4 linked regions of the Caenorhabditis elegans genome follow. The protein of the gene in region 4 interacts with the protein of the main gene of each other region in a pairwise test. Each region holds a gene or a part of one and is shown on either strand. Other genes may lie near its edges. The genes, in order: ehbp-1, cnt-1, rme-4 and rab-35.

Region 1 (7,732 bases), on a different chromosome or scaffold from region 4:
GCGCTAGTGTCGATTTACGGAAACATTTTATTAATCGATTAAATATTAAAAGAAACACAAAAATGACAAAACAATACGAAAAACTGAATATCACTGTCGCAATTCGAACATAAGTGAAAATCGATCCCGTAAATCGACACCAGCACTACAGTAGTCATTTAAAAAGTTACTGTAGTTTTCGGTCAGATATTTTGCGCGTCAAATATGTTGCGCAATACGCCTTCTCAGGATTTAGTGTTCTCGTAATATGAGAGTACAATATTAAGTTTATTCTTCTCATCTATTTTTCTTCAAATTAATGCATACGAGTATTTTTTCCTGCAAAATGCGATTCATTTTTTAACCATATCACTCAATTTCTCAAATTTATTTGTTTTTTCTTTCAGTACATTCCCTCACAATTCGAGCTTGCTTTTTCCTATCCCACTTGTTTGATCTCTACGCTAAATATTTCCACGTGTAAAGTATTTTTCACCAGTCTTCCACACACTTTCCTCTTTTTTCGAATGAATTTTTGCTGAACATCATTTAAAACTCTGAATTGATTTATTGAAAGCTGAAAGCATTTGGATTTGTGTGCACCGAGAGAAAAGAAAACTGAATACAAAAATATACACATAGAGATGAAAAGATAGAGAAAAATTTGATGTTTTGATTAACTCCTAAAAATTTGCCAAAAAAACGGGAAAGAGTGAATTATGGAAAGGAGAAAAAATGATAGAAGATAACAAAGGGACACTGGGAGAAACTTTGTTTTCAGAAAGAGAAGAAGACCCGTAGTTTTAAATTGAGTAATAAATAACGTTGAAGCGTATTAACGGCGCCACCATTGAATAAGTCGCTTCGATGCTGAAACAGGCTGATCTATTCCACGAACAAAGCGAGTAGCCCTATCCAAAGTAAGGTTCTTCAAACGATCCGAATCTTCTTCGCTGAAAATTTCGAATGTTGTTTCATTAGTTTCACTGAAAGTAGTTTATTACGTGGTGTCAGAATGTCCCATTCGGTTTGATCTACGTAGATCTACAAAAAATTCGGAAGTTGAGACGAAGAGTTCTCAACTGATTTCGCATGGTTAAGAACGTGCTGACGGCACTTTCTTAGGCGAAAAATTCCAGCATTTTTTGTAGATCAAACCGTGATGGGACAGCCTGACACCACGTGGTTCAACAAAGCAATAAACACTTACATTTCGTCCTCAGTTGCAAATAACTTTTGAACCAAGTTACTTTTTGTTTTCATAGCATCACTATATTGTTCAATCAGTTTATCCGTTGCCGTCTTATTCTCATCAGAACGAGGGAAATCATCAGGAACTTCATTGATTTGTTTTCCCAATTGGTCAATTTCCGAAGTAACCTGACGAATTGTCTCAATGATATTATAGTATTCCTGTCGATGTACAAGAGTGTTCCGTTCATTTGTCAACTCAAGATATGATGCAGTCAACATTTCTTCTTCTGAACTTCCAACTTCTGTTTCACGGATCTTGTCTTGAATAACCTGAAAACAAAACAAACTGAATTAATCCTTTAATTCTCAGAATCTTACATCGGCTTGTGCTGTAATATCCGATATACGTTCGTCAATACGAACAAGCTCATTGGCGGTTCCTTCAACGTCATCGACGTCTTTTTCCCATTGGGAAGAGAACTTTTTGGTTGGTGTCGCCAGAGCGTCTTGCGAAGATGATTCGAAATCGTTTCCCTAAAAATAATAACATTTAGACGGTAACTTTCAATTTGCACCCATGATTAAATTTTATGTTGATTAAAATAGAAGCAAAAATCATTACATTACACTTTTTACAACATCACAAACCATGTATCCGTATTGTTTCGCCATCAACTGCAACGATTCTTTCAATTCTGCACTACGCATACTCCCATATCTCTTGACACGATCAAATGTAGAAGCTGATGAAGGAGTTGATGAATCGTTCTGAAATGTGAGCAAAACACTTGTTAGGCATACTGTACAATGCGGTGTATGATAAAAAAGAAAATATAGAACAGAGAAGAACTAAAGATAATATCGACGAAAGAAAAATTATGGTTAGATAGAAATGAGGATTGCTAGTGGTATTGACAGCTAATTGACAACATTCATATTTAAAGCTTAAAATAATACTCAAATGTTTAAAATTGAAAATCAGACAACTTATTACACTGACAAAATAGTTTGCGACAAAATATACGGTAGCTGGTCTTGACGCAAGGTTTCAAGCTCTCGTATTTGTCGATATTTCATCGATTCTTCATAGTTTTTTTTTAAATTTATGTGTGTTTTATTGTTTTATTTTAGTTTTTTATAAAAAAAAAAGTTTTATCGAAAAACTATGAAAAATCTATGAAAATACCTCACCAACGAGGATTTGAAGTAACTGTATCTTTAAAGGTACACATATTTTTCCTGAATCGGTGTTGCCAATAATGCTCTATTCGGGATTAAACTGTTAACTCGGCATTTCGCGTCTTCTTTCTCCCACCTTTTTGCCGGAAGGCGAAAAGGTGGGAGAAAGTAGGCACGAAATGCCGAGAATTTAAATATATTAATGACTGACCCGATTTCCATTTGTTCTGCCACGACCAATTGCTGGCACATGAGGAGTATCATTGGGATCGTCTGTAATTAAAACAAAATTAAGATGAAATTGTTCCTAATAATGCAATTGACATGTTAAAAATCACTGCACTATGAGGAAATAATAAAATGTACATTGTTTGCGGACGAGCGTCGGAGATGGATCACGTTTCTTGAACTTGTGTACATCGAGTTCTGAAAATAAATTCACTACATGCTTTGTCACAACACTAAAACAATTAAATCGGAGCATGATCTGAAAATGTTACAAACCAATACGACGAAGATCGGTATTTGATCCATCGATACGACGGAAAGTGGGATATGGTGATGATGAAGTAGAGGGGATTGCTGAAATGGGAACACACGGTAGAAATAATTAAAACAATCACAACAAAGGAGATTACTATAGAGAATCACGACAACTTTTGTGTTTTTAAAAACTTCTCACCCGTTGGATGCTGCTTTTCGTTCAGCATCCGTCTGACCTCTTCGCGTCTTCTCTCTTCATCACTCGCTTTCCGTGAATTTGGTGTTGCTGCAGGAGTTGTTGATTTTTCAATTAAATCACGTGCTCTTTGGCGTAGTTCATCTCGCTTTGAAGGTGATGCACGATTCTGAAAGTTGTAAAGATTTTCAAAAATAAGAATCTCGTAAAATTGGATATCTATTAGGAAAAAGAATTGATTAGACTATTTCGCTGGGAACAAATGTAATTGAGTTTTATAAGGGCGAGTATTTAATAAGTTTTTTAAGTTGTGTCGCAATTTTTATCAAGCTGTTATATGGTAGTAGGAAATGTTCAGTTATGTATAACCTTATAAATTGCATTAAAAAAATAAAATAAGAAAATATACCAAGAAATCTGACGATTGAAAGAACCTGTTTTTTTCCTATAATTTCAGTTATATTATACACACAAAGTATCTTAAAAATGGTAGAATTGAAGTGAAAAAAGATTTCAATAACTATTTTAAATAATTAGCATTATTCAATTCGAAATTCAACAAAAAAACAAAAACTAAATATTTAAAATTTTAAAATTTTTTTTTTCAATAAAAACTCACCGATGCACGAATTGCTCCAACTCCTGGAGTCACCATGGTTATGCTTACATTACTTCTCTCAAAGCGCATATTTGAAGTTTCAGCATCATCGTCATCAGCGTCAGTTGGTTGATTGAGAGCCGGATTGCGACTAGCCAACTGTGGTGTAACAGGAACTTCATCAGGAATGTGTCTATAATCCACAGCTTCTTCGAGATCTTTTTGATTTCGAATTTCTGTAATCATGGCAACAACTTTTTCTTCGGATTCATTAATTCCAAATGTTCTGGATATTCTGTGATCAGAAGCACTGGCTGGTGTAGATCCCTCGTCAAATCCTTCAAAGATTCGGCGAAGATGTTGAAGAAGAAATTCTATTTGTTTCCGATCAGGAGTCAGAAACATATCAACTGTTGGTACTTCTGTTATTCCTATCAAAGTAAGTGAATCGAGGGCTCTTTGAATATTCGAAATGCGTCCAGACATATTATTAGAGATATCCAGTGTTTCGTAATCTCCAATGAGATCCGGGCGATAAGAATGAAGAACTGCACACAAGGCCAATCCGTTGTTCCAAGATTTCATAAAATCATTAACTTTTACATGCGAATATCCGTTAGTAACTCTCTGACACCATGAAAGTAAAGTCTCTCCATCGATCGGTTGAGGGACAGCATCTCTAGATGGAGCTCTCGGAGAATTTGATCTTCTGAAATTGAAAAAAAATTATGATTGTGAGAAAAGTAACCAAACAATACCCTCTACTCATTGTTCCACTTTGAAGATAATATGGTGTAGCGATTGCTGTAACTGGAACATGCCGAGAATTGGAATCCACACGGAATTCTATTGTTGTAGACGCTTTTTCTTCTGTCGAAGCACGGCTTGACCGACTATGTCTGTTGGTTGCAATTGGCGCTGGAGCTGCTGGTTGTGACGTTTTTTCTTCTTCAGCTGATACTCTCCATTGGGGACGAACTGAAATACATTCTATAAGAGCCACGGGTGTCGGTTTTTCGATTTTTCGTTTTCCGAAAAATTGAAAAAAAAAATTTCGAGTATTTATTTTGGTTTTTTTAATCCTTTTTCTTCATCAACATAAACAAATTTTGATATATCATTTTCTGGATAATTTTCGAATTTTTTTTTCGATTTTCGATGTTCCTTGAAAAAAAAATGAAAAAAATCTACAAATTTTTTGATGACCACACACGAATTTAGGCTATATGACTTTTTTCCATGAAAATATTCTAGCCAAAAATTCTAACGATTAGGTTTAAAAAACGATTTCTAATTACCTTTTGCAGGGTTTTCATTCTCTCCGGAAGGTTTTCGGTGTGCTGGAACAATAGGCGGAGCGATTTCCTTTTCCTCTTTGATCCATTCCATCATTTTTGTAGCTGTCGTGTCGATTTGTTGTCTTGCAGCTTAAAAAAACAAATTATGTGAAATAAACTGTATTTTTTCAATCAAAATACCTGCTGCTCTGGAATCATTTGCACTCGCATCAACTTCATCTGTTACTGGAACTTTTTCAACAAAAGAGGCTGCAGCTGACGAAGTAATACTAACATCATCTGCATTTACTTCCGAAATAAGAGAACTTCCAAGAAGAATAATCAGGGAACACAATTTCAAATGAGGCGTCAATGGACGGAGCTTGAGCTTCAGTTCACTTTTATGATCGGGTAGATCCAGAATAAATAAGCGAACATTGAGTGGCACTGCTGCAATTGCTTTTCTTTTTCCTTTAGCAGTTACTTCTTCAACAACAATCGTCCATTCTTTATCTTCATATTCATCACTTGCAATACGATATAATGTTGTAAGAATATCTATATTCTCTGAAAATTGCTCAGGCCACATAATCAAACATTTGTTAGCGTCCGAACATTCTTCCCATTTTCGTTCCTTTGATGATACTTTTCGTCGTCTGTAAAAATTGTATGATAAAGGTTTCATGAACAATTTTTTATTTATTTTCGATTCGTATTATTTTCTTGTGAATATTTTTCTTTTTTTTTCAAATTTCCATAATGATCATGATGCATTGTGTCTATTTTCTGATTGACATTTATTATTCTTTGATAAGAAAATGTATTCACCTATGAACGAAAGAAACTGCAAGGTTTTCTGGTTTCCATTGTTCGTCGGTGTAGAGATGTAATTCCTAAAATAATAAACAATTGAGATAAAAGTATCAAGAACGAACCTGAAGAGTAACTGTAAATCTAAATTTGGCAGCTTTCTTATTGGATCTCCGAAGTCGACGAAGAATACCCGCCATCTGCAATTTATATGTTAAAACAATGGTAATCAGGTGCGTAATGCGAAGAATTTCTTTTCGATTTGTCGTACGGAAATGGATATTTGAGGAGATGAGAAGAAAGGAAAGGCGGCGGAAACCGAGAGGAATGGGCGCAGCCGTCTTCCTCCTCCTCATTCGACAACGGCGGCGAGAAGATTTGATAAAATGAGCGAGAGGCGATAGACTAGAAGGAAAAGAGAGTGACAGAGGTAAAAAGAAAAGAGCATTTGGAGCTCCAAAGAGAAGGTCTGAAATATGTTATTTTATCCAGTGATTCACAAGAATTTGTATTATTTTAAAGAAAATGAACAATAGAAATTTAGTAAAACTGAAAGGGAGAGGAGAGAATAACAAAAACAATCTGACAGTAGAGCATCGTGTAATGTTACTAGATCGAGTTGGATTGGTCACTTGAGACCGCCGATACAAAGATTTATGGCCACTTCTTGCCATCTCTCACGCTCTCGGTAGGTTTTCGATTTAGCATTTAGTTACAAGTGCTACTTTTCGAGTGTTCGTCGTTATGTATCAGTCAGCTGCCAGCGCCCGTTACACTAACTCTGCTCAGCGCGCCGTCGAAGTTCAAGTGTTCTCCCATAAACAAAAAATGGCAGTCAGAATAAATAAGTTAATTTTTATTCTGAAAACACCATTAAGTAACGTTTTCAGAAAACATGAGGAGCTATCGAAAATGCGATATTTAATAAACGTGAGGAACATAAATGGTTTGATCGAGAACTATATGCATAACCACAGTGATTGTTTGACAAAAATTAATTTAATACGATGAAACTGCATGAAGAAAACAACAAAGTAGATATTTATTGCAACAATATATTGAAAAACCGTTTTCAAAAATTGGTCTAAAAAACACGGCCCGAGAAGTGGTATTTTTTTATGATGCATATAAAAAATTGGAGAGGTCTACACTCCAATTATCAGTAGAGCGCATTTGCATGGATGTACCACTTGCCGGGCCGTGAAAAACGTTTACGTCTTTTTGCGTCTGCATTCACAGTCACGCAAAAACGCAGACACGTTACTGTAAATAGAATATTGTGTAATTCGACGTGGCCGTGTTTGCACATTGTTATTCTGTTTGAAAACATTTTTTTTCCGAAATAATTTTTGCAGAGGGGTTTTTCTTTTATTTCTTTTATTTCCTTGGTAATTCCCTCCATAAATGCGTTTGTATTCTCACAAATTAAAAAATTAAATTATATTTTTAAAAAAGTTAAAAGCCGATTTCGATATTGATTATTTCTTAAGCAGGTAAAGAATTACTCACGATATTGTTAATTTTATTGTGAACAAACTACTTTTTCACCTTTGTTAAACTTTTACAAATGTCTCAATTAATTATAAATAATTTTTATACGAATTCAAACTCTTTAAAACCTTAGAAAGCTGAATAATCGAGCAGAAACTGCGGCAGCAATGCCCGCAATTAACTCGACAACAATGGCCTAGTTGTCGGGTGTTGCCTGTTTCTCGTCCTCTTCCATTTCTACGTTTTCCACGTTCTATGTTTGTCCTGCCTCCCGCCTTAACTACCATTCATAAACGTTTCATTCTAATTTAGGCCCTCTTCGAAGCTATGAGAAATCGTGAGAATCCAACCAAATGGGAGAGTTACAAGCAGGTCATCACAGCTGTTTCAGCATATTGGTACGCTATTCAGGTTTCTTTATTCAACTAAATTTTCCAATTTCAGGGTCTTCTCAATAGGATTAGTGTTTCTCAACAAGTATTTGCTGTCTAGTGTGCAGGTAAATTGTTCAATTCTCGAACATCA
Region 2 (4,816 bases), on a different chromosome or scaffold from region 4:
ACCAAATTTAGAATGCTAAACGGCTAAAAGTTGGAAGTTTTTGAATATTTTAATAAGAAAAATTCAAAGGAAAATGGCTAATATTGAGATGTTTTTTTTTAATTTTTGAGTAAAAAACGGGAAAAAAATTATTTTTGATTTTTTTTTACCAAAACTATAACTACAGTGGAAAAAAGTTTTTTTGAAATTTTTAGTGAAAAATTATAATGCGAAACTGCTAAAAATTGAGAAATTTTGTAATTTTTGAGTCAAAAAACTTTTAAAAAAATTTATTTCGGGCTTTTTCGCAAAATTTAAAATTTCAAAACTCTCAAGTTTTTGAGTTTAAAAATTCAAAAACAAATTTTTTAACAAAGTTCTAATGCATTACAGTTTAAAATAAAATATTTTGAATTTTTAGTTAAAATTTTTTTAAAAATTTTATTTTAATGTTTTTTTTTGGCAAAAGTAAAATGTTAAACGGCTACAAAAAAATTTATAAATTCTTAAATTTTTGAGCAAAAAATCAAGAAATTGATCTTTCTAAAACTCTTACAGCTAAAAATAAAATATTTTGAATTTTTTTCAAATTTTTGGAAAAAAAAAGTTTCCGTTATTTTATGTGATAACTCTCACATTAGCCGAGGGAATTTCTAATTTTTTTAACCAACAATTTTCAAAATTCAAAACGAACCGCATCGAGAATCATATGGTCCTTGTGTGCATGTGCAATATTAATATTTGCCACGTAGTCGAGTGTGGTGTGTGCGAAGCAAGTGCCGACCTGGAAAAGAGCGGGTTTCTTGGTTTGAAAAAAAAAATGTTTTTATTTGTTTAAGGGTTTTTGAGTGGTTTTTCTTGCAATTGAGACGCTTTGTGAGAAACTATTTAAGGTGAAGCAAAAAAAAAAACGACAAAATTGAATGTTTTATATAACCAGAAATTTTGATTTTGTTAAGAACATTTTTAAATTTTTCGATTTATTGTTTAAAAAATAGACTTTTTTTTTCAGAAAATTCTTTTTTTTTCAGTAACATTATTAAATTTTTATCCAAAAATTAATCAATTATTTATTTTAACAATTTCTCGAAAAATAAAATAATCTTGAAAAAAATAAAAAAGAAGATAATATATTTGGAATTTTTTTTACTGTAAAATCGGCTTTTTTTGATAAATCAATATTTCTTTTTTCAAAAAATTGATTGTTCGCTTTAACGATTTTTATATTTCTCGAAAAATATAAATCTTTAAAAAATTACAAAAGAAATGTTTTTAAATTTCTTTTCAGTAAAAATGGGCATTTTTCAAGAAAGTCGATTTTGAATTAGGTTTTTTTCTCTGTTTTTTTTAGTTTTTCGAAAAATTAAATTTAAAAAAAAAATTTCAGTAAAGTTAACATTTTTTTGATGAATCAATAATTTTTGTTGCAAAAATTAATTTACGATTTTTATATTTCTCGAAGAAAAAATTTTAAAAATTTACAAAAAAAAATCACTAAGTAATTTTTTTGGCGAAAAAAAGATATCTGTTTTTTAATTTGTAAAAAAAAATTTCAGTACAATACCTATTTTTAGAAAGAAATTTTTTTCAAAAATTTGGATGAATTTTTTTTTGGTTTTTTATCGAGAATTTCGAATATTTTTCGTTGAAAATTCAAAAAACTCACCGCAGTAAGTGCATTTCGCCCTTCTGTCGCATCTGCAGGCTTTTGCCTTGAAATACTCGCATTTTTGACTAATGCATCATCCATTGATTGGGACATATTCTCAAAATGTGCACGGGATTCTGCCACTTTTGTGAGCTCACTTAAATTAGATTTTAGAGGAAACATTTTTGAATTTTTTTTATTTCGAAAAATCTAATTTTTAATTGAATTTTCAATTTTCTGTTGTGAATTATGCGATTTTTGGTTAAAAACACTTGAATTTTGGCTGGAAATTTATTATTTTTCGAAAAAAATTGCCTTATATTGTTTTATACGTAAAATTGATTTTTTTTTTAATTTGGCGGGAAATTCAACTTTTCAAAAAAGATTTTTTTTTTGAAAAATTACCAAAAAACCCGAGAAAAAATCGAGTTTTGCCTATTTTTTTGCAAATTTTTTTACAGGAATTTTAATTTATTTAATTAATTAATTAATTAATTTTTTCCAATATAGAAATTTTTTTGAAGTTTTCTGGCTCAAAAATTTTTTTAAAATTTTTAGCTCAATCCAAATACCTTTAGTTCAAAAAAAATTAAAATTTTCGATTGTTCAAATTTGTCAATTTTCTGTACCTCTAGAATGAATAATCTAGTAAATCAGCGGGAAATTTGAATTTTTCACCTCTAAATTTAAAGTAAAACGAAATTTTGATTTAAATTCGCTTAAACTCGTTATTTTGTAATTTTCGGCCTTTTTAACTCAGAATTTATCGATTTTTATGATTTTTCGCCAAAAAAAACTCCGGAAATCTCACATTTTAATGAAATTCGACAGTTTCGTGAAAGTGACCACATTTGAATGGTCGAAATACGTGCGAAATAGGTTAACAGTGTGTGCATAGGCTTCTGATAATCCTTGGAATGTTGTAGACGCCAATGGATTGCCGGAGAAGCTTTCATCGCATAATTGATTCACCGAAACCGTTAATTTGCTGGAAAAAACGGGGATTTTTTGAGAAAATTTGAATTTTTGGTTTTGAAACGATTATTTTTCGCTATGTGCCTTTAAAATACAGTAATCTGAAAGCTTAATCGTTTCGAGACCCCAAAAATGAATTTTTTTCACGTACTAAAACGTGTTCGTATAATTTTTGCTGAAATCAATCATTGCAGTGATGTGTCGGAGCATTTCGTTGAGCCGATTCTCTAATCGATTAAAATACATTGCATGTTGAGCGACTGTTGCGCGGAATTTTGGAGAATCCTGCAAAAATTTTAGGTTTTTGGTGTATTTTGAGGGAATTTCTACCTGAATTGCCTCGGAGCAGTCGATTTTTGGCGGAACAGACGGCATCGCCATTCCATTGTTTGATACTGTCATAAAATCTGGAAATTTATCGATTTTATACGAAGAAATTGAGTTTTTTCGGCTGAAAATTGAGAAAAAATAATCAAAAATAATTAATTGATAATATTGCGTCGTCAATTTCAATGCCAAGTATGCAAACACCACAGGTGCACAGAACAAGATCTACCGTACTCTTCAATTAATTAATTGAAGAGTACGGTAGATCTGGTACTGTGCAGCTGTGGTGTTTGCGTACTTGGCATTGAAATTGACAGCACATGTTTATCAATTAATTAATTTGGTTTTTAAAAACGCAATTTTAATAGAAAAAATGTCGAAAAAATGGTAAAAAAACATTTTTCTCTTGAAAATTTTCATTTTTAATAGCTAAAAATAGAAAAATAAACTGAAAACAGTCTTGATTTTAAAAAAATTGCTTAAATTTTTCACTTGAAAAAAATTCAAAAAAGTCTGAAAAGTCCGATTTTTAGAAGAAAAACTAATTTTATCACCATTTTTCTGTACAAAAATTATCGAAACTTATGGAAAATAACAAAATTTTCCCAATGTTAAAATAAAAGTTTTAAGTTTAAATTTTAAAATTAATTTTATTTCCAAAATTTCGCAAAAAAAATCCTATAAAAACGACCAACAATTTTTGGGTAAAAAAACTTTTTTTTTGATAAGTGGCTGTAAATATGCCACGTGGCTTTTGAAATTAAAAAAAAAAACATTTTCAAATGTTTTTTTCAACAACTTAAACTTCCGTATGCGCCTTTAAAGAAAACCAAAAGTCCATATCACTCGCACAATAAAGGAAAAAGAGAAAAATTCCAAGACACGTAACAAAAGCCTCAGAACAGAAAAAAAAAACAGAAAAACAGCCGGTTCTTCTTCTCTCTTGCCGCTACGGCTGCCGCTGATGATGATGGTGATGAACAGGAAAACGAGGGAGAGAAATAGAGAAGAGACGCAGGCAGTTAGACGGCGGGAGAAGAACATCGCGACAACTTTTCGGACGGAGGTCATTGTGTTTGTGGGGGGAAGAAGAAAAGGACGAAATTTTTGGAGAAAAAGGACAGTCGTATATAAACATTCACTGCTTGTTTCTCTAGGAACTCTCTTGATTTTCAATACTCTTTTTTTGTGGAGAGAGCTTGAGAATGAAATTGGGTGAGAGGAGGAGAAGGGGAGGCACCGAGAGCGCAACTAATTTAATATTCTCTTACTTTGCTTTTCTAGGCAGACGAGAAAGAGTTACGGGGAAATTGGAATTTTGCAATGCAACAACATTACACATATGTACACGTGGTACCAGAGTCTTATTTCGGTTTGATCTACGCAGATCTACAAAAAATGCGGGAGTTGAAACGCAGACTTCTCAACTGACTTCGCAAGGTTAAGAGCGTGCTGACGTCACATTTTTTGCGGGAAAAGTTCCCGCAATTTTGTAGATCAAACCGTGTTGGGACAGCCTGGCACCACGTGATTATCCAACAAAAAATACTTTTTTCATCAAAATTTAGTGATAAAATAAAAAAATTTTTTTATCTGAAAATATGTTTTATTTGACTTGGAAACATTGCAAAAAAGCTCAAAAATTAATCGGCAAATCAGCAAACCGGCACATTACCGGAATTGAATTTTCCGGCGAATCGGCAAATCGGCAAATTGCCGGAATTGAAATTTCTGGATAATCGACAAATTTCCGGAATTGAAATTTCTGGATAATCGACAAGCTTGTCGGAATTGAAAGTTTTCGACAAATTGGCAAATTGCCAGAATTGAAACTTCCTGCAAATCGGCAAAATGACAAACAGCCGGAATTGAAATTTCCGGCAAATC
Region 3 (7,065 bases), on a different chromosome or scaffold from region 4:
GCAAAATGCTTTCTCCTTTTGAACTTCATTAATTGATTCACCTTCTATTTTACTTTAATTTATTTGACCGAATAAACATTTTTATTTCTTTTTTAACAATCAAAAAGTTTTATTTTTCATTGCACATTAATTGGAGAGAATTATCCTTGGTGAGTTTTTACTGTTATCTTTACACCAATTTTTGTCTTACTCATATGAAGAAACATTTTCAAATTAATTTTGTTTTTAACAAGGAAATATCACCACAATTTTTGTGTTTATTCATTGCACGAAAATCTAATTATTCGGTTTGTAGTGAAATTGTAGTTTGGGACTTATACATTTTAACCAGTATTCTCTTATTTTTGAATTTTTGGAAACTTGAAATTGTATTTTGTATTTCGTACCCCACACTAAAAAAAACTATTCAACTTTCCACTACTACTCCTGAATTTCTGGTTTCCAGGGACAGCTCTCACGGTCCCATTTCCAAGACAAAGCATCATGTTGCTTAGCAATTGTGAGTAACAAACAGAACGTGGAACACAAGCCGGTGGTAAGTCTTCTCAGCAGGTACTATAGATGTCATTTGAAGAAGGAAAGGGTGAGCAAGGCGTTCTATTGTCGTAACAAGACCATTCAGACTCTCGTAGCATTTATCGATTCGTCACTGTGTTTATTCATTTCGTCTATCTTTCCTCCTCTTTTCATTGCACAGTGTCCCCACCTGACGGCGGGAAATACGCACTACATAAACTCGTCCCGATTTGAAGTGAACTTTTTTAATTCGCATTTTTGTAGTTTTCTAGGTTATTTTTCTTTTAATTTGAAAAGTAAATTTTACAATAAATTTGACTTGATAAGTCGTTTTTTGCATAGACATTCAAAATCATATGTCCATGTTTCTTAAACTTCTTCACTTTTTTCTCGTACAAATCGCTTAGATGGGCTATTTCTCTCTTATTATATGAGCACAACGTTCTCTCGCTTGCAATGTCAGAAATAGATTGCAGTCTTATCCCTCTACAAACTGTGCATGCACATTCTCTGCGTCTTTTCATTCCTATCAGTGACTAGACTCTTTTTCTTCCAGAAAAAAAACATTAGATGACAACAAACTGTTCAGTTTTTGCAGATAGAGTTCGGCTTTTGGAAGTTAAGTTTTCTGGCATTTATGAAAAAAAGATTGCTCATTAGGACCGTCAAATTTATGTAACGTTAACATAGAAAATATCAACAATGAGAAAAGCAAGCAAAACATGTTTGAAAGCCTTATTGTTTTAAAATAGATAGGTAGCGGAATTTATTTAAGAAAATACTTTTATTGAGTCAAAAGTATTTGTTTCTTTAACCAATAAATTTTATGTTCCCATTTTTTTTGAACTTCAATGTTTCCAAGTTTAGCAGTTTGATATAATATTCAAAACTAACGAAAATTTGATCAAAAATTTGAACAAAACGAACAAAAAAACAAAAAAACAAAAATCTACAAATCCGCTTTTTAACTTGAAACCCCTAAAAATATGTAATTTAAAATACACAAAGTAGCCTACAGTTAAACTCTGTATGTTATCAAATTCTGAAAAACACAACGAAATTCAGTATTCTGTTTTCTCCTTTTCAACAGCCCATTTCTCATTCCATTTGACAGCTCTATTTTCCTCATCCGTCACAGGACTGCGCGATACTAAAAAAAAAGACACATGTTTCTTTTTTTCTTGGTATTGTTACCCAGTAGTCTGAATAGTAACATTTCTTGATTCTTATGTGATGCTTTTGGTGGCAGCACCCATTTTTCTTCTTTACTCCATCCTCTATTTCTAAATTTATGTCACTAATTTTATCCCATTCATTCTCACGCCTTGTTCGCTCTTCATTTTTTCCATGTTTCTTTTCCTTCTCTTCTATTGCTGTAGTCTCTCCTCGCCCTCCTCTTTTTGTCGTTCAGTCGCGTGTCAGCTGAATTCACAAAGAGAAACGCGCCAGCAGTCTTCTTTTAACGCAGTTTTCGTTTTCCGTTCTTTTTATTGTAATATTGCAAGTGTTTCCTGCTGTCGCCGCCCAGCAGTTTTCAGTCCGTTTGTTCCCAGTTGGGTGGCTGAAGCTAACCTTCAATTCAATTTAACAATTGTCTTCGATCTCTAGATCTCTTCTCTGCCGTTGGTTCCATCTCCCAATTGGCTTTAATTTTTCACATATGACCTATGGAAGATACAGGTGAGATTGTTGTGAAATGTTCAATCCATTTTTAGAATATATTTTCAGAGCTGACGTGGCCACCCTGTACGACGTCTTCTGCGAACTTGATGCCCCGAAACCTGGCGAAAAGCTTGCTATTTTAAGACTCCAGTATCCCGACGATTTCCACGATCCAGCTATTGTGAAAAGTGTTCAACAGTTTGCATTTCCATGTCAACTACGAGAGTACGTAATTGTTAAAAAAAAACTAAATTGGTATGGAATTAAAATGTTTTTATAATATTTCAGAGTAGAAGTCGACGCAGTGCAATTATTCAGTTTTGTTCTAACCGATTCGAACTCCAAATTCTCGTTTGGATTTTGCCGTTATACACCAAGAACCGACACGTGCATCTGCTTCTTGAGGTGAGAGTGATTTTCCATCATTACTTTTGACAAATAGCCGTCGTTTGGTTTTGTCATGGGAAAATGAGTCCTGAAGAGCAGAGGAGAAGTATCATATTTCGTTTTCTTTTCTATTCCTTTTAAATAAACTCTTGCAAAAACGTTAACGAAAAAAAGAACAAAACAGAGTTCGTTTTTTCTTGTGACTTTTAACTGTTGTTGTTGTTGTGTGATGCGAAAAAATGAAAAGAATGTTAAACGCGTAGGATAGGATGACGAATATGATTGCAATATTTTAAAAAAGAAAACGATTTGTGATGGTGAACATTATTATCACAAGAACTTAAAAAAAAATACAAAACCGTTTGCTTGGAACTAAAATATGCTTTAAAAAAAGGCGGTAGAAAAGAGTAGAGAAGTAGTCAGAAAAATGTCTCTTTAAAAATATGAATATTTTACAGTGGATTCTTCTGGCCAAATGTCTTCTTCAAAGCTCTTAACGATATTTCTTTGGTGATAGGTTCAGCGCAAAGGGAAGATGTTGAATCAGTGCTCACCAAATTCTATCACACAGATATTCCAAATATTGACGAATATTTACGATTTGCTGATAGTAATCAAACAGATGGAGTAAGAACCTTAGTTTATATCTAAATGTGCAATATTTTCTCAGCACAACTATCGAGTAGTGTTTGCTGAAAAAATTCCCGATCACACGCGATTACCAACTCTTGGCTCGGATAAGTTTTTCCTCGAGTTCTACAACGCCATCGACCCTCGGCAGATGTTAGCAATCTTTGCAAGTCTACTGAAAGAACGTCGTATTCTGTTTACTGGGCGGAAAGTTGGATCGTTGAGTTCATGTCTCCATGCGGTCTCGATGCTTCTCTACCCAATGTGTTGGTGAGTAATATAAAATTTCTAACAAAAATGTTTACATAAATATTGGTAGCAAGAGGCATTGCAATCGCAGTTCTGTGATAGCAGTTCTGAGATAACTAAGAAACTAAAACAAAGTACGTAATACCACGTAATAAGAAATCGTGGTTAAGAAATAAAAATCAAAAGCAATGTAAAAGGGTATACAGTATAAGATAACTTGTTATATTATTTAGTGATGCATATACATAGAATTCAAGTTTCTCTTAAACAATCTTGAAAGTACTTGGTGAAAAATTTGAATTCAACATTAACATCACGAAACATTTGGTCTTGCGACTGTATTTAATCATAGTTTTAGGAACAAAAATTCTGAACTCAATGATGAGGACGCTTATTGAAAAGCTATTAAATTTTCTAAAATGTACTTCAATGTATATTTCAGGCAATCAGTTTTTATCACAATTCTTCCCGAGTCTCTCGTCGACATGGTAATGGCACCAATGCCATACTTGATAGGCGTTCCAAAAACTGTTTTGGAAAATGCGGTTTGTGAATTCGAATAGATGTCCCAATATTGTATTTTATTTAAGAGGCTGAATATAAGAGACATCGGCGAAGTGGTGATTGTTGATATTGACGAGAAGACGTTAACAAGCCCATTCGATGATGTAGCAGCAATGCCTCAAGAAGTTGTAAACTTTTTGAAAGCACAACTTCGGTCGCAGTCAGCAATGGATGACACTTTTGCAAAGCACTTCTTACGAGCTATGGTTATGCTGTTTGGTGACTACACAAGTGGATTTACTGGTGATACGCCTGAAACTCTGGTTTTTTCCAAAGAGCGGTTTGTGGTGCAACAAAAACCATCCTACCAAGCATACGTATCATCACTATTAGGTGCGGATGGTGTGCAGTACCTAGAAAGAGTGAGTTTCCGCACAAGCATATTGATAAGTCGCAATAATTAAATATTTTAGTTCATCCACGACCGATTAGAATTGTACAAAGACGGACACGTGCCAGGAGACCAGTTCGAAATTGAAATCGAACAGATGGATCTGAAAAACCGGCCGGTAAGTGATGAAGCAAATGTTATCATAGCTTGTATAACGCAATGACGTTAACTCGTCGAGTGTGCGGACATATTCCAACATTCAGCTAAATCATCATGAGCCAATGGTGCATACTACGGTGCAATCAGTAAGATTCGTGTTGTCAAACAGTATCTCAGCAACTTGATTTTCAGTTTAACCAAGTGCATGACTTTTGAAAAATTTTCTAACTTGTTCGGCATCTAATTTTTAATGCAATTGAAAAGATTTTCCAGGTCAAGGAGAATGCCAATGACGTCATCGGAGCATTGAAAACTTCTGGAATACAAGTATTTTTCAACCCATTTTAAGTTATTTGAAACATTCAAATTTCTAGATTGCAAATCGTCTCCAGAAACTAACGCCTCGGGAAATACGAAAAGCAGCGGCAAGAAAAAAAGCACACAATCAAAATGGATTTGAGCAGTCGCCAATGTCTTTTGATAACCTACAATGGGATGCAACGGTTTGTTAGAAAATAACAGAATGTATTAATATTTTTGAATAGTTCCAGAAAAGTGACGAAAACGAGGGCTTCCCGGTGGAAACAAGGATGGACAATGTTCCAGTAGCCAACCTCATTGATTTGGATGAACCTTCTACAAGTTCTGCGTCTGGGCTTACATCAGTGGATGAACAGTACTTTCTTCGTCCCTCCGAACTTGCAACTAACAACCGCAAGTGAGTATTTGATCAAATAATCAACCCAGAAAAAGTATAACGCTGTGGCTCTTTGTAGAACTTTTTCGCTCTATTTTTCTGGCAACCAACAATTATCTGTTCGTTGTGCGCCTGCCTGAGTTTAATCCACTTTTAATCTATAAGCTTCTGGCTGTTTCTGTCTAGGTAGAAGTATTTTGGAAACGCTCGGAAATCTCATAATTGCTTATATGTAGAATAAAAAGTAATGTCGCCTTATAAACAAAAATCATACTTTGTTCAAATATAACGAGGATCAAAAAAATTGCAGTGTGTCCAATGAGAAGTCTAATGCATTTGATAACTTCTGATGATTTGGTTTTCTAACACCGTTTCAAAAATAGTTTCATAACTAAAAAGAATTAAAAAAAATTTCATTTCAAGCTGGTGCTTGAAATGCTGGTGCTTGTACATGCTGGTACATTTTGTATAGTAATCTTGATCAAGATATAAAACATGTATGTATTGCCAAAACCTGGTAATTTGAAAACCAAATCTGTTACTATGTTATTCGCAAATCAGTTAATTATTTTACAAATGTTCAGGTCGCCATCTGGAGCAATAGGAAACGTATTTGCCGACCCATTTGCGACGTCACCAGAAGGCTCGGCGCCTCCATTGCCCTCTCGACCCCCACCACCTCTACATCCTCGCATGATTCCTGGCTCATCGGTCCAGTCAATCTCTCCAAGTGGATCATCAGCACCTCACCTACTCCATTTTCAACAAAGCCATCAGTGGGCACAAGTCAGCCAAGTAGGAAGCGTACCATCAGCGATGAACCCATCTGCACCCGATTGGTATGCTCCTCCGCCGCTACCTCCCCGACGACCTGCATCAGTTGGCCCATCGAGCACATCGTCAGGGCAACCAGCAACTGCTTTTGCCACTAGTTCAGCAATACGAGTCCCCCCTCCTCCGGTTCGGAGCAAATGGGAAACTTTCGAGTAGAATACAATCATGTGATAACAAAATGAAAAACAAATTATTTATGTGTATGAAATTTGAGTTTCTATGGCTAGAGTCGTATGGTTACTTTCATAAATTTAACCCATTTCTTTCCCCCTTCCCACTAGTCAAATTATTTTGTTTTTCCATATTCTCATATTTTTTAATCGTTTGTTCCTTGTACTCCTGCGAGACTGAAGTCACAACGATAATTCAGTCATTTTATTCATTTTGTTTAAGTATATATTTTTCAAAAATCCAAAGGAACTTGTCAAATCAAATTGTCATCGAATGCCGGCATTCTAACTTTTTCTTGTCAAAAGTATATATTTATTTATTTTTCTGGTTTGGAATAAACAATAATGTTGGGTGACTTTTCATTCAGTTTATGTTATTATTTCAATTTATTTCAATTTACTCACTTATTTTAGCATCTATCGAAAGTACTTAAAAACTACAATATACTGGACAGCTTCCATTTAATTTTTTTTGTTTTAATTTTTGAATGGAGTAGCGTCAATACGGTAAATATTTGAAATAGATCTTTTGTGACAAAAATAATTCAGTTGAAAGGATAAAATCGTTTTTTTTAGATTTCAAAAAAGTTATCCCAACTGGCGCTATAAAACTTTTGAGACTTTGGAAAATATCCCATAATTTTAAATGGAAAAAATATTATGCTTTGACAATTTTCACAGTATTTACAATATATTGGAAAAGTGAACCAAACGTATCTACGACTACCCTGCATCATAACACTATTTCTCCTGCATATTAACAGATGGCCGTCCTCGTCTCCTCCGCTCTTCCCCTTCCTGGGGCCCCTGCCGTCTGCTGCCTTTTGCGACCGTCTAGCTTCTCTCACTCAATGATTTCTATATTA
Region 4 (7,366 bases):
AAGAATTTTTTTGAATAAAAATCGGATAAACTTGGTTTTTGAACTTAAACATATTTATTCGGAAAATTCTCGAAAATTTTCAATTTTATTGCATTTTTAGAAGAAAAACATTAAAAATTATCTGAAAATTCACAATTCAGTCAAGACAAAGTCAAAATGCCTGAATTTTTGGTAATTTTGAGTTGAAAAATTGTTGAAAAATTGTCGGAAATTCTCGATTTTATACCGAAAAATCCTAATTTTTCAGCGAAAAAACGGACGATTTTGGCGAAATTCGTGTTAACAAAATAGTTTTTTTTTTTTTAAATGAAGAATTGATTTTTTTAAACCAATTTTTTGGGATATAATCAGAATAGCCTATTTTTAGCAAAAACTTTGAACATTTCCATGAAAATTTGGTGAAAAATGTCAAAAATAGCCAATTTTTATCCAGAAATCGAAAAAATTCAATTTTTGTTAGGTTTAGACCCGTTTTAATCGAAATAGTTTTTTCTTATTAAAATTCACGCTGAAAAATCCGGCAAATCGCCGGTTTGCCGAAAATGTGTTCGAAAAATAAATTAAAATATGTCAAAAAAATTTCAAAAATTTTTTTTTGAAAATTCTGAAATTTTTTTTAATGAAAAAAAGTCTCAAAAAAAGTAAAAATTTTTTCCAATTCCAGGGCCCGATTCCGACTTCAGAAATGATGGATCGCCAATCAAAAGGACTTCTTTCGGCAGAAGGTGTTGCCAGACGTTCTGGAACAAATGGACATTTTAATCCAGTTGCCAGAATTGATTTCGAGCTTTATTTGTAAAAACTCTCCTAAAAAACCTCTCCTCCTCCTCCCCTGAATTTTAGCAATTATATGATTCATATTTCATTTTTTTTTGTTTCATTTTCATTTTTTCCCCCATTTTTTTTTGTTTCTCTGAATCTCGTTTTCACTCTCTATCTCTCTCTCATCACTTAGAACACACATTCATTTCTCTCACTTTTTCCGCCTGAAAACAGCTGAAAAAAAGTCGGAAAAATGATTCGGTGCCGAAAACTTTTCAAATACCGAAAACTCGCTATTCAACATGATATTTATCACAGTTCCGATGACATTTCTCGAGGTTTTTTCAATTTTTTTTTGTAAATTAAATTTTTTTTTTCCCGTTTTTTTTTTGCCCTTTTTGGTCCTAAAATTGCATTTTTTTTCAAGTTTTTAACTTGAAAATTCATTTTTTTGGCCTATTTTCGCCCCTAAAACTGCACTGTATTATATAAAATCCCCAATTTTTTCCTTTTTTAAAAAAGCTTTTTTTTTTAAGATTTTACGGTTCCAAAAGCCGCTAAGTTTCTGCTGAATTTTCTGGGAAATTTCTAGATTTTACATTAAAAAACAAATTTTTTTTAAAATTCTAAATTTTAAACTTCGCTAAATTTCTAAATTTTGGTGTAAAAAATTAGAAGACAAATTTTTTTTTAACCGGTCATTTTCCGAAAATGAAACCTCTGGTAATTTGCCGGTTTGAATATTTCCGGCAAATCGATAAATTGCCGGATTTTAATATTTCCGGCAAATCGATAAATTGCCGGATTTTAGTATTTCCGGCAAATCTACAGTTTGCCGGTTTGAATATTTTCGGCAAATCTGCAACTTGCCGGATTTGAATATTTCCGGCAAATCGATAAATTGCCGGATTTTAATATTTCCGGCAAATCTGCAATTTGCCGGATTTGAATATTTCCGGCAAATCGGTAAATTGCCGGAAAATCCAGTTTTTTGCCGGAATTGAAAATATTTTTTAAAAAATTTTCAAGTGTAATTTTTATTTCATTTTAACTAGAAACTCTAGTTATAAACTAGAAAATGTAATTTTTGTCTAGAAAAAACCGGAAAATCCGAAAAATTCACGAATTTCCTAGAGAATTTTGAAAAAAAAAACCCCCAATTTCCAGGCTTCTGCAACCCAACATCAATGGCGGGAACTCGGGATTACGATCATTTGTTCAAATTGCTGATTATTGGAGATTCGGGTGTCGGAAAGAGCAGCTTGTTGCTCCGTTTTGCAGATAACACCTTCTCTGGTTAGGCATCAAATTTTCTAAGGGAGAAAAATTCAGATTTTCCATTAAAAAAATTTTATTTAAAGAAAACTCAGTTTTGACCCAAATTTCCCAAGAAAATCGGGAAATTGGACAGAAAAACGGCAAAAAACCAATTATTACAAATAATTTTTGTTTTAAAAATAAATTTTTTCTAAAACTTTTGGGTCAAAAATTTGTTTTGTCCGATTTTTATTTAAAAAAATGAATTTTTCCATCGAAATTCTGATTTATCCGATTTTTATATTTGAAAAAATAATATTTTTTGCTTAGAAAATCAGTTTTGAACTCAATTTTCCCATGAAAATCGCGAAATTAAACAGAAAACTTTGAAAAACGCAATTTTTTGCTGAAAGTAGTCAAAAACCTGTATTGCGCGGCTACAAAAATTCTGAGAATGCGTATTGTGCAACATATTTGACGCGCAAAATATAACTATATCTCGTAGCGAAAACTACAGTAATCCTTTAAATGACTACTGTACCGCTTGTGTCGATTTACGGGATCTCGATTTTTTGAAATGAAGTAAATTATTTATTTATCAAAATTAATAAGAAGCAAAAACGAAAATAAATCGAGCCCGTAAATCGACACAAGCGCTACAGTAGTCATTTAAAGGATTACTGTAGTTTTCGCTACGAGATATAGTTTTATTTTGCGCGTCAAATATGTTGTGCAATACCCATTCTCAGAATTTTGTGTTCCTATAATACTGAAAATAGCAATTTTACCAATAAAAAAAATTTTTTTTTGCAGAAAACTACATTACCACAATCGGCGTCGACTTTAAAATTCGTACAATGGATATTAATGGACAACGTGTCAAACTTCAGATTTGGGATACTGCCGGGCAAGAGAGATTCCGTACAATTACATCGACGTATGGCGGAAAACTTTTTTTTTTTTTTCAAAAAAAAAATTTGAAAAAATTGCAATATTTTATCACATTTTTGTTTGCAGAAAAAAGCCCAAAATTTGTGGTTTTTTTTTTTTTTTTTTTTGAAAATCAAAAAACTTTGTGGGAATTTTCAAAATTTAAAATTTCTATGAATTTCAGAGACAAATTTGGAGGAAAATTTCCGATTTTCCGGAAAATCGAAATATCTTCAACTTAAAATTCAATTTTTATCGAGTTTTGTATATATTTTAATGAATAAATTGGAAAATTATAAAAATCTCAAATTTTATCGAATTTTTGTTAAATTTCGTTGAAAAAGTAGAAAATTTACCAAAATTTTGAGATACTTTTAATGGAAAATCGAAAATTTTTTATTTTTTCGAAAAAACGAAAAACTTTTGTGGAAAATTGATACAATTTATTTAAAAATCGAAAATTTTTAGTTTTAGTTTTTTTCAATTTTAGTTAATATTAAAAAATTAACGATTTTTGCAGTTACTACCGCGGAACACACGGAGTCGTTGTCGTCTATGACGTCACAAATGGAGAATCTTTCGGAAATGTGAAACGGTGGTTGCAGGAGATTGAGAATAATTGTGATTCGGTTCAGAAGGTTCTTGGTAAGGAGCAGAAGCAGCTTTTCAGCTGAGCTAAAAAAAATTTTAAAATTACGATTTTCCTCCTTTTTTTTGAAAAGTTGAAAAAAAATGGAAATAAAAGGGTAATTTAACTCAATATCACTATAACTTTTTCCTCACGAGGGACGAGGAAAAGTGGTTTCTAGGCCATGGCCGAGGGGCCGACAAGTTTCAGCGGCCATTTATCTTGCTTTGTTTTCCGCCTGTTTTCTTTCGTTTTTCACAGCTTTTTCCCGTTTTTTCTTTTTCTTCTTTTTTTCTTCTTTTCGTTTTTTCTATCTGATGAATAAATACTTTTTGCAGATGCTAAAACAATTTCCAAGTAAAAAAATTATGTATTCAGTGGGCAAGCAGCGGTGAAAGTGGTCACTGCAATATGATGGATTACGGGAATACAAAACCTAAAATTTTTCTGAAACATGATAAATATGATGCTTAGATGCTGAAATTACCTGATTTTCATAACGAGACCGCTGAAAAAGTTTTGAGGTTTCCAAAATTCAACTTTTTTGGTGAAAAAGTAGAGATTTTCGTACAAAAAGTTGAATTTTGAAAACCTCAAAACTTTTTCAGCAGTCTCGTTATGAAAATCAGGTAGTTTCAGCATTTAAGCAGCATATGTATCATGTTTCAGAAAAAGTTTAGGTTTTGTATTCCCGTAATCCATCATATTACAATGCCCACTTTCACCGCTGCTTGCCCACTGAATACATAATTTTTTTACTTGGAAATTGTTTTAGCATCTGCAAAAAATATTTATTTATCAGTTTTAATAAGAAAAAACGGGAAAAAGCTGTGAAAAACAAAAGAAAACAGGCGGAAAACAAAGCAAGATAAATGGCCGCTGAAACTTGTCGGCCCCTCGGCCATGGCCTAGAAACCACTTTTCCTCGTCTCTCGTGAGGAAAAAGTTGCAGTGATCAATTTTCATAGTTTTTCGCGTTTTTTTTTTTGAGAAATTTGGAGAAATTTTGACAATTTTCCACATTTTTCAAGGTTTTTTTTTGAAGAAAATTACAAAAAATTAACACTAAAAAGTTCCGAAAATGATGATTTTTTTTAAATCTAATTTTTTTTTCAATTTTTTAATTAAAATTAACATTATTTAGAGATATTTTTCAAAAAAACCTTTAATTTTTTTCCGTATTGATTTTTTTTTTCAAAAATAAACAAATAATTCCGTTTTCAGTCGGCAATAAATGCGAAGAAAACGAGCGTCGAGTGGTTTTGGAGAGTGATGCACGTAATTATGCTCAATCGATGAATATCTCGTTTTTTGAGACTTCTGCCAAAGAGGACAAGAATGTCGAACCGGTAAGAACGAAGAAAATATTGAATTTGGGAATAAAAATACATTTATAGTTGAAAGTGGCAAATTACAAAAAAAATTAAATTTTAGAATTTTTCGGTTTAAAAAAATATAACAAAATATATTTTTCCGAAAAAATGTTTAAATATGATTTTTTTTTTAATTTTGGAAAAACCAATAAAAATGGCAGAATTTTTTTTTTGAATTCCCGCTGATAGTGAAACTTTATTCTTCAATTGTTCAGACATCATTCTGTAATGAAAACTTGGTAATAGGAAATAAGTTTGCTGAAGCTGCTCAACAATTAACTTAAAGGTGGGGTACCGAAATTTGAGACTTTACTTTTTCAGATCCAAAATGGCCCAAAACTACCGAATTTCGTAATGAGACGTTCTGAAAAGTTTTCAAAAAAAAGGTATGGCGGCTCAAAGTTTTGGAAAAAATGGCCTATTTTTAGCTAAAATCTTAAATTTTGGCAACTTATCGGTGTCGCATCGGTTGAGACGTAATTTTTATTTGATTACCATTTTTTAATGCATGTTTTGGCATTTTATTAGGTGTTGTTTCGTCGATTGAGATGTTTTTTTGGCCAAAAATATGATACAATTTTGAGTCCCCCTTGGCCAAAAAAACATCACAATCAACGAAACAACACCTAATAAAATGCCAAAACATGCATTAAAAAATGGTAATCAAATAAAAATTAAGTTCCAACCGATGCGACACCGAAAAGTTGCCAAAATTTGAGATTTAAGCTAAAAATAGGCCATTTTTTTCCAAAACTTTGAGCGGCCATAGCTGTTTTTTTGAAAAATTTTCAGAACGTCTCATTACAAAATTCGGTAGTTTTGGGCCATTTTGGGTCTTAAAAAGCAAAGTCTCAAATTTCGGTACCTCGCCTTTAAAGGTGGTGAAATTTTTTAAATTGTTTTAATAGACTCAAAATTGTCTGAAAACACCGAATTTCATAATGAAACTTCTTGAAAAATTCTCAAAAAAAAGTTATGACGACGGCTCAAAAAGTGGCCTAAATTTAGTTGAAATTTGAAATTTGACTTGTCAAGCGGCTGGAAACTAACTTTTTTGAAATTACCGTCAAATTGTGAGTATACAATGTAATTATCTTGCGTTTTCAACTTGATTTAGGTTTTTTAAAGTCGATGGACGGCGAGATTTGGTTAAAAAAATTAAAAATCTCGCCGTCCATCGACTTTAAAATACCTAAATCAAGTTTAAAACGCAAGATAATTACATTGTATACTCAAAATTTGACGGTGATTTCAAAAAAGTTAGTTTCCAGCCGCTTGACAAGTCAAATTTCAAATTTCAACTAAATTTAGGCCACTTTTTGAGCCGTCGTCATAACTTTTTTTTGAGAATTTTTCAAAAAGTTTCATTATGAAATTCGGTGTTTTCAGACAATTCCGAGTCTAATAAAGCAATAAAAAAAATTCGAAAAGCGTAAGGATTGGAATAATTCAAAAAATGTTTTTTTTTCATAGAGTTTCAGTAAAATTTTCAGAAAAATTAATTTTTTCCCCATTTTTTCAGATGTTCACATGCATCACGAGCCTCGTTCTGACCGCCAAACTCGCAAATCCCCAGTCGGCTTCAAAGGATCAGAGCCGCACGGGCGGTGTATCTCTCAAGGACAATTCAGGAAGCACCAATCAGAAAAAGAAGTGCAAATGTGGATAAATTTTTCGTTTTTTTTTTTAATTTCTCTCACCATCATTCTCTATATTGTTTCACTTTGTACTATCATCAAAAATCGCAAAATTCTCGAATTTCCCCTCCCCTCTCCCCTGCCTTCCCGCATGTGCATATACAACAGTTTTATTCCCAATTTCCAAATCGATCGACTGCTTTTTTTTTTGGCTTTCTATCTGTTTTCCCCTCCTTCCTAAATTACTAAAATATTTAACTTTTTGACGAATTCTTTTCAGGAAATTGTTTTAAAATCCAAAAAAAGAAAGCTAATTTTGTGATATTTAATTTAGAGAAAAATTTAGTTGAAAAAAAAAAATAAAACTAATTTTTTTTTAAATACTAATTTTTGTTGAAAATTCCCATAACTTCATAATTTTTCCTTTAAAAAAATTTGGAAGATTATATATTTTTTAAAGTTCTAAAAAAAACCTTAAATATTTTAAAATTCTAATTTTTCCTAAATATTTTTGTTTGAAAATTAATTTTTTTTCGTACAAAATTTGATAGAAATTCCGAAATTTTCACTTAAAAAAATTAAAATTTTCTCTCACTAATTTTGGCCAATTTCAGAATTTTTTCGAAAAATCACCACTTTTTGTTTAAAAAAAACTCAATTTTTTCCAATTTCTTTGCCTAAATTTTCTAGAAAAATTCCCATTTTACAAATTTATCCAGAGGAATGGATTTTCAATTAAAATCTTGAAAAAAACTAAAAAGTAGAGAAAATTGGAAACT

The links.
Region 1: the proteins of rab-35 (region 4) and ehbp-1 interact in a two-hybrid assay, tested with the Caenorhabditis elegans proteins (one study listed by BioGRID).
Region 2: the proteins of rab-35 (region 4) and cnt-1 interact in a two-hybrid assay, tested with the Caenorhabditis elegans proteins (2 studies listed by BioGRID).
Region 3: the proteins of rab-35 (region 4) and rme-4 interact in a two-hybrid assay, tested with the Caenorhabditis elegans proteins (2 studies listed by BioGRID).

What each region holds. Positions count from the first base shown.
Region 1 is NC_003283.11:9,548,828-9,556,559, reverse strand, and holds ehbp-1 (EH domain-binding protein 1), read right to left. Parts: upstream 5,917-7,732; coding exon 5,842-5,916; intron 5,800-5,841; coding exon 5,735-5,799; intron 5,563-5,734; coding exon 5,108-5,562; intron 5,057-5,107; coding exon 4,928-5,056; intron 4,608-4,927; coding exon 4,388-4,607; intron 4,339-4,387; coding exon 3,651-4,338; intron 3,201-3,650; coding exon 3,035-3,200; intron 2,935-3,034; coding exon 2,857-2,934; intron 2,779-2,856; coding exon 2,719-2,778; intron 2,626-2,718; coding exon 2,564-2,625; intron 1,942-2,563; coding exon 1,822-1,941; intron 1,708-1,821; coding exon 1,552-1,707; intron 1,504-1,551; coding exon 1,190-1,503; intron 933-1,189; coding exon 815-932; 3' UTR 528-814; downstream 1-527. Other genes in the region: nstp-10 (GDP-fucose transporter), read left to right, coding at 6,724-6,750, 7,520-7,605, 7,652-7,706.
Region 2 is NC_003280.10:12,085,858-12,090,673, forward strand, and holds the start of cnt-1 (Truncated cnt-1), read right to left. Parts: upstream 3,012-4,816; 5' UTR 3,005-3,011; coding exon 2,933-3,004; intron 2,888-2,932; coding exon 2,754-2,887; intron 2,616-2,753; coding exon 2,439-2,615; intron 1,785-2,438; coding exon 1,646-1,784; intron 764-1,645; coding exon 674-763; intron 1-673. UniProt on the Caenorhabditis elegans protein: GTPase-activating protein for the ADP ribosylation factor family. Regulates endosome recycling downstream of rab-10 and upstream of arf-6.
Region 3 is NC_003284.9:10,372,722-10,379,786, reverse strand, and holds rme-4 (UDENN domain-containing protein), read left to right. Parts: upstream 1-2,017; 5' UTR 2,018-2,176; coding exon 2,177-2,196; intron 2,197-2,244; coding exon 2,245-2,403; intron 2,404-2,466; coding exon 2,467-2,583; intron 2,584-3,023; coding exon 3,024-3,192; intron 3,193-3,235; coding exon 3,236-3,465; intron 3,466-3,886; coding exon 3,887-3,989; intron 3,990-4,034; coding exon 4,035-4,370; intron 4,371-4,421; coding exon 4,422-4,517; intron 4,518-4,771; coding exon 4,772-4,825; intron 4,826-4,872; coding exon 4,873-5,001; intron 5,002-5,043; coding exon 5,044-5,216; intron 5,217-5,779; coding exon 5,780-6,185; 3' UTR 6,186-6,555; downstream 6,556-7,065.
Region 4 is NC_003281.10:11,306,130-11,313,495, reverse strand, and holds rab-35 (Ras-related protein Rab-35), read left to right. Parts: upstream 1-1,929; 5' UTR 1,930-1,949; coding exon 1,950-2,058; intron 2,059-2,832; coding exon 2,833-2,956; intron 2,957-3,469; coding exon 3,470-3,594; intron 3,595-4,801; coding exon 4,802-4,926; intron 4,927-6,472; coding exon 6,473-6,619; 3' UTR 6,620-6,849; downstream 6,850-7,366. Other genes in the region: teg-1 (GYF domain-containing protein), read left to right, coding at 665-799.